2 linked regions of the Nothobranchius furzeri genome follow. The protein of the gene in region 1 binds, or shares a complex with, the protein of each later gene. Links are inferred from orthologs where the notes say so. Each region holds a gene or a part of one and is shown on either strand. Other genes may lie near its edges. The genes, in order: nhp2 and dkc1.

What was found.
Region 2: nhp2 (region 1) and dkc1 share a complex: the UniProt entries of both Homo sapiens proteins name them as parts of the H/ACA small nucleolar ribonucleoprotein (H/ACA snoRNP) complex. The link is inferred for Nothobranchius furzeri from reciprocal best matches to the Homo sapiens genes NHP2 and DKC1.

Annotation. Positions count from the first base shown.
Region 1 is NC_091750.1:25,734,479-25,738,863, forward strand, and holds the start of nhp2 (H/ACA ribonucleoprotein complex subunit 2-like protein), read left to right. Parts: upstream 1-1,439; 5' UTR 1,440-1,552; coding exon 1,553-1,715; intron 1,716-1,785; coding exon 1,786-1,855; intron 1,856-2,055; exon of another isoform or gene 2,056-2,089; coding exon 2,090-2,195; intron 2,196-4,385. UniProt on the Homo sapiens protein: Required for ribosome biogenesis and telomere maintenance. Part of the H/ACA small nucleolar ribonucleoprotein (H/ACA snoRNP) complex, which catalyzes pseudouridylation of rRNA.
Region 2 is NC_091758.1:16,257,902-16,260,948, forward strand, and holds the end of dkc1 (H/ACA ribonucleoprotein complex subunit DKC1), read right to left. Parts: coding exon 2,978-3,047; intron 2,901-2,977; coding exon 2,770-2,900; intron 2,535-2,769; coding exon 2,391-2,534; intron 2,288-2,390; coding exon 2,167-2,287; intron 2,132-2,166; exon of another isoform or gene 2,055-2,131; intron 1,987-2,054; coding exon 1,868-1,986; intron 1,738-1,867; coding exon 1,634-1,737; coding exon of another isoform or gene 1,630-1,633; intron 1,408-1,629; coding exon 1,368-1,407; intron 1,294-1,367; coding exon 1,138-1,293; intron 1,055-1,137; coding exon 995-1,054; 3' UTR 584-994; downstream 1-583.

The sequences.
Region 1 (4,385 bases):
GGGGCTCCAATAGCTGCAATACCGACTCTAAACTGCGTGGTGCTAAAGAGTCGGATCTTTTTACTATGATTTCTGTGAATTTCACACAAGGGGCCTTTAAATGAAGCAGTGATTAACGGGCATCTGCAGCACTTGATGTCCTTCTGAAGAGCCGATGTAAATCAGGTGTGCTGAAGCAGAGACATGGACAACATCCAGGACAGTTGTCCCTGAGGACCAGGGTTGGGACACACTGAGGTACACTATGACATAAGCTGGTACTATATGATGTCACAATGCTGTTGTGAGCCTGTGTGTTTGTGTGTTTGTTAGTGGCTCCACCCTCTCACTCTGCCAGGCAACAGCATTTGTTGCACTTTTCAAACAGGAAGTGGGAGTGGAGTAAGCCTCTGGTAGGGGGTGACTTGCTCTTTAATGAGTTAACTAGCAACATTTTACAGATAATAATTATTGCTGTGTGGAATTTGTTGCATCTTTAAAATGCTTCGTAACATTTTTCTCACACACATTCCACTAAATCAGAAGTGAGATCAAAGAAAAGGTTTTTATGTGAGGGCGCACGGTGGTTGGGATGGGTAGCGTTCTGTCCACGTCCGTCACGGGCTGGGTGGGGGTTGAGCGGGTGCGCTTTGCCGACCTCCGGGGAGGCTTGGTACTGGAAGACAAGATGAACGGCTCTCTACAGAGACTCGGCTCTCATTGTTCACTTTGAAAACCAAAAGATTTGATTTGCTCGTGAATGTCACATCACTGCAGATAAATGAGTATGGAAGAAGAGGACAGAGCATCGTTCTTCTCCCAGACGGAGCAATAATCATACATTTGTGTCTCTGAGGACTACAAAGATGTCAGAACTAAAACAGACCACCAGCTGTTTTACATCCAGTGGTCTCCTTTAAAATGCAGCTGAACGCTCACCTGTTCAGGTGCTGCTACCTCTTCTTACTCGTTTTCTTTCTTCCCTCTCATTTTTATGTTAAATTTTCCATTTTCACAATTTATTATGTGTTTTTAATCATGTTTTAGTTTTGTTCTTGTGAAGCACCTCTTGACTCTTATCTTCAGAGGTGTTGCCCTTGTTCAGGCTGGCTTTTGTGTGACCTTCTTCACCACTCTCTTTATTCTGCTCTCCCCACCTATTCCACCTTCCTCAGGATCTTTCCCTATCTATTCACTCTCTCTCTCTTTCTTTACATTTTTTTAATCACAATTGTCTATTTTTTGCTCATTTTAAACATATTTTAACCATTTTCTAAATTATTTTTTTATGTTTTACACTTTTTTTTGTGAAGCGCCTCGTGATTTTCATCCTGAGAGGCGCTATAGAAATGATACTTTCTTCTTCTACACACACACACACACACACACACACACGCACACGCACACACACGCGCGCGCGCGTCTACAGGCCCTCTGTAGACTTTGCCGACATTTCCGCTCCTGGCCGCCGGGGGCGCTGTGGTCCAATGGTCCTGTTAGTCCGGGACAAGAGTTAAAACACGTGCGTGCTGGGTGAAAGCAGAAAGCAACAATCGGTTATTGATTATCAGAGATGACGAAGACGAAGAAGGAAAACGCGGATCCAAATGATTCGGTCGCATCGGCCGGTGGTTCCGAGAGGACCTACCAGGAGCTGGTCTCCCACCTGAACCCGATCTCTCAGCCGCTGGCCTCCAGGAAGCTCAGCAAGAAGCTCTACAAGTGCGTGAAAAAGGGTAAAAGACCACCGAGACCCGTTAGACCGGTGCTTGTGTCCCGCTTCTTTACCCGGTGTTTTGATTTCAGCTGCTAAGGTGAAGAACATCCGGAGGGGCGTGAAAGAAGTTCAGAAGTTCATCAAGAAAGGAGAGAAAGGGTGAGTTAGCTTCACGGTGCCCGGGTCCGTCCAGAACCTCAGTCCCCATTACTGTAGTGGTCCGGTCCGTCACTGTTTTCTGTCCCTCAGAAGAAGTTCCGCACTAATTTTTTTTTTATGTATTTAAATGTGAACATTATTCAGTTTTAGCGCATTGAACCATTCAGGACACCGTAGTCATCCGCGCGTTAGAACCTCACCTGTGCTCACCTGAACCCGGTCTGGTCTCTGCAGCATCGTGGTCCTGGCGGGCGACACGCTGCCCATCGACGTGTACTGTCACCTGCCCATCATGTGTGAGGACAGGAGCCTGCCGTACGCCTACGTGCCCTCTAAAACGGTGAGTGAGTGGAGCTGGGGTCAAAGGTCAGCAGGTGTTGTCAGGATTTCAGATTTCTCACACGTCAGTTTTAACCCTTGACTTCAAGTAAAACACACATTCTATGAGGTAAAGGGCTGGTGTCGTGGTTTTTAGATTCTGATTGTGTTAAACGTTATTATTACTATTATTATTACTACTATTACTAGTACTATTATTATATATGATATATGTGTATATATGATCCAACGGTTTTGATCTAAATCAGGGCCGTGTGCATATCTGGTCCATCTACACCGGGGGGAGGGGGTTCCACGTAGTGAGCTCAGAACGTCAGCGCTATAATGAATCCATGCTTCCGTACCACCAACGATGCTCGAGTGGAATCATCTCTATTTAAAGCAAGGCCCACAGGCAGACCCTGTTAATCGATACTAGATAAATGAGAATGGAAGAAGGTACAGAGCCTCGTCCTTCATCTGGATAGAGGAAGATTTACGAGGACTACAAAGACATCAGAACTAAAACATGCCACCAGCTGTTTGATCAAAGCTGGATAGCTGGAGTGTTTACAGGTTTCCATGGCAATGCCGAAAGTCCGCCTCAGCTCTGTTGCTGAGTTTTCATCATTTATATGTTGTTATCATGTTCTGCTCCAGGGTCTGGGTGTTTACAGTCTCGAGGACGTAGTTTTTGCTGAGCAGTAGTGGTGGTCACGTGACCTTAAAGTTGCCCGTTTGTCACAAGTATGTTTATGTTTATTTATTTGGCAGACGCTTTTATCCAAAGCGACTTACAATTTATAACCTATAGGGCGTGTTGTGATCTGTGGGGGAAACCGGAGTACCCGGAGGAAACCCGCGCATGCATGGGGCCAGAGTACAGCTTTTAACGCAGGGCTACTCGGTTAGATTTTTTGTTGGGCCAAATTATCATGAGGCTTTTGCCAGCGGGCCGTACATTTCCCCGTATCTCATATTTACCTATTAAAACAAAGTGCCGCTGCATTTTCAACAGTTTTATTGAAACAAGTCAAATGACATTAGGATTAACTGCTGGTTTTTAGTGAAAATAATAGAAACTGCAAAACATAGCCAACTCTGGTTTTAACAGAACTCCGAGTCACAAACTCAGTTACAGTACTTGTTTTCGCTTAAAATAAAGCCAAGAAAACATAACCAGCTGTAGTTTGACTGAAATCACGGTCACATAAAGAACACAGTAACGATAATTACAATGTCTTTTATGCAAATAAGAACAAACAAAACTTTCAATTAAATCACAAAATTAAACTACTGGCTTTTAAAGCATATAAATGAAAGAAAAGTCTGAGTCAACAACTCATAGTGACAGCACTTGCTCTGTGCTTAGTAAAGCGTAGAAAACAACCGGTTTAGTAGGGCTGGGGGTAAACGATTATTTTTAAAACGATTATTCTGATGATTATTTTATCGAATAGTCGACTATTCTAATGACTATTTAGAAAATTAATCTAATGATTATTTTTCTATTGCACAATTAACAAAAACCAGAAAATCTCAAATAAATTCCTCAAAAAAATTGATAAATTCTTACTGTAAGAGAATAAACACTACAGGCCTTCCATGCTTTTATTGTGTTGGTTGGTTATGTTCTGGTGACGTGTAGAACTTGGGAGTGCAGGCTGCTGCCTGAGAGGTGGTAGAAGATGGAGTGTCTCCATGCTGCTTTGTTTTGGTCACTTATGTGCGTGAGGCGAGTGGTCTTACGGGTTAAACCAAACTCAGGTGATATTTTACACTAAACCGAAAACCCACAACACTCTAAATGTAATAAAAGGGAGATCTGCACCACAAAAAAAGATGAACTCTAAACCAAAACGTAACAGCTTATCCCAACGCAAGAAGCTGTTAGCGAAGATGCTAACAGTAGCTTTACCAACGTTAAGTTCAAGTTACCAAGTTTAAATAAACCAAAAACACCCAGCAGCAAACAGACCAGCATGGAGGAGAGACCGTTACCACCAAAACAGCTCTCCTCATGTCTGAAAGAAGCTCCTTAATGAAGGGAGAAACGCTCCCGGTGATGTTCTACATCTGCGATAGACACGAAGCAGCGCGTCTGACCCCGGAAGTTGTTGTCCGTTGCCGGGAGACGAAGGGGCAAAACAGGAAAGGAATCTAGTAGTGGACGGACGTTGTTCCGGGTCTTCGGTATTTGGCGGAGATGTTA
Region 2 (3,047 bases), on another chromosome or scaffold:
ATACACAGTGTTGGGTGTTGAGATTTCTCTGAGGTAAAAAAGATAAATATTACTCCAGGGGTGTCATGCCCCCCACGAAAAAAATTACTGGACATTTTATATTTTAACGCATCAATTTGGTGCATTTTGGGGGGGGGGAAGTAGAGTAACAGACTCGTAGCTATGTATGATAATCTAAACATGTTCATGTGTTAACGTTTAAACCATTGTGAACAGACTACAGCGATAGCAGGATGGATGCATCAGCAGGTAAGTACCAGAACTACAGTAGTTACCAAAAGAACCAATCAGCTGGCAGAGCTCCCTGTTAAAGAACCAATCAGCTGGCAGAGCTCCCTGTTAAAGAACCAATCAGCTGGCAGAGCTCCCTGTTGAACGTGTGAGCTACAGGAACGTGACTCAATTTAAGGAACAAAGTAGAATCCAGCTGCTTTTATTTGTTGGTATTTATAGAAACTAAATATATCTGCAGGGCTTTAGGCCCAGGGCAGTTTTATACCTTTGAACAGCTTTAGATCATGACCTGTTAATATGTTCTTTACACCAATCTGAATATTCTGTAATGTTCACAGACATCCAAACCTTAGAAATGAGAGAACTTTAATCCCCGTTTTATACACAGAATACATTTATTTTGAAATAAAAAAGTTAGATATTTACAAGTGAGCATGCTTTCTGCCTCCATGCCAAACACCAGAAGGCTGAAAACCAAATCTACAAACTTATTACTTTCGACCCCATTTCTCCTGCTGTCTAGCAGCACTTACAGAATCAGAAGCCATTTTAAAACGAGGCAACGCTGCTTCAGAAGGTATTTTTTTTTTAAAGTTGCATTATCATGGTTTCCCAAACACATTCTACTGCTGCAGCTTTTATCGATCAGATGATTTGCAGTGATGGGGACGTTCCATTTAGCCAAAGATGCTCTTCACTGGGATTCGCTGAGGTCAACTTTAGAGGATGGAAATGGTTACAAGTGTTTGGAGCGAGTGATTTACTCCGACGCATCGGCTTCCTTTAGTTTTTTCTTTTTCTTTTTTGATTTTCTTTCAACCTGCAGAAGAAAAGCCATCACTTAAGTTTATTATTCACCAGGAACCTAAAAGTTGAACGAGAATGCAGGAAACGCTCAATCACCTGTGTGTCAGGTTCCTCCGCCACTTCTGGCTCCTCCTCCTTCACTTCTGGCTCCTCCTCCATTTCTGCTTTTTTCTTTTTCTTCTTTTCTTTCTTTACCTCTGCAGAAGGAGTCTCCGGGGTTTCACTGTCACACTCTGTAGCCTCCCGTTTTCTCTACAAGTCAGAGGTCACTGTAGGTCAGTTTTCACCATCACCACCAGTGGGGTAGCACTATGTGACAGTATTACCTTAGCAGGGGTGTCTTTTGGTTCTTCCTTAACAGTAACACTGTCAAAAAATAAAACAAAATGTCAGTCACTGTTTGATGTATTGACATCGTCGCAGCTCATGACGACTCTGTACTCTGTTGAGCGGCGCCGTCAGCAGACAGTACATGCTGAGTACAGGCGCTCCAACACGAGAGTTTCTCTAGCAGACTTACTCCCTCAGAGGGCACACCAGCTCAAAAAGGGATAACCGTCTGCAGCCGAAGCCCCGCCCACAGCAGCACTACCTGTAGTCTGCGTAGTCGTCTTTCCAGTCCTGAGGAGTTTGGGCGTTTGGCTTTCCGTGTTTGTCTAGGAGTCCTTGTTTGATCATCATCTTCTTCTTACATGCCTGATTAAAAATAAATAACAGTTTCTTCTACTCAAATTTTATTTACAAAGTTATTGGAATTATTTTTGTTTATTGGCAGATTAAAAAAAAAATCAGATTTGTACATTTACTATCATAACACGACACCCACCTTTGGACCCAGACCCCATTTCCGTGGATACGTGTCTCTCTCCATGATCACCCTCTTGATCTTCGCCACGACGCCGTGATCACAGGTGGAGATCACTGCTGTGGTCATCAGTGCTACCGCTAGAGGAGGAGGAGGATGTGGTTAATGTGATTTTAACCCCTTCTAGAGTTTAGTGAGGTCTTCTGGAGGCCATCAGAAAAGGGTGATAGATAGCAGGTCATCACTGCCCGAAAGCTGCTGCATCTACTCAACTCATCATGTGGCTTCACACCAAAATCAGCACGCCACAACAGACTCACCTGTACAGATGGCCTCGCCTTTGGTTGTTATGACAACGATGTCCTGGTTAACCTCTATGCCGTCTTCGTACCGGAGGACACCAGGAAGCATGATCTTGGCACCGTAACAGATGGCGTTCACCTGTAGAGGCACTCATGAGTTCACTCCGACAGATTTAACCCACACTGCATTGTTCTCCGTTCACAGACGGTCACACGCTGTCCCCGACTAGAGGAAGACTCACCGCGCTGTCCTTCATCATCAGCCGTTTGTATGACACCAGCAGCTTTTCTAGAGGGAAGATGACTCTCCTCAGATAAGTCTCATCTTTATTGTGATCAAATTGCCACTGAGCATCGAGAACATCGTGCATCGTCACCAAGTTGTCCTGAAAGCAGATGTTATGTTAGCAGCACCGAGTCTCAACAGGCGGACATGCACGCCCATCGTTGCTCCGCTGCGCTTACTCTTCCAAAGTCTAATTAACAGCTCGGCACTAAGCAGCAGAGCTGGACTCAACACTTTGGACTAGAGAACTGAACGTGGTTCCTACTGCGATCACTTAACCAGCTGTGATACAATAAACCATCACAACAGCAAGATGCACGTGGACACACACTGACCTTCTCGCCCAGAACTCCAGACCGGACCCTCCTCAATTCCTGCATCTGTCCTCCAACTCCAAGTAAAAGTCCCAGGTGGACACACAAAGTCCTGATGTAAGTTCCTGCTTCACAGCTGACCCAGAAGATGCCTGTTCAGAAGAAAAACATGATTTAAAGCAGAAGAGCATCAAACTTCATGACCTCGGCGTCAAAATGAGTGTCTCACCCAGCCTCCGCTCTGGGTCGTACTCGATCAGCTTGCTCTCGTAGATGGTTCGGACTCTCAGCTGACGTTT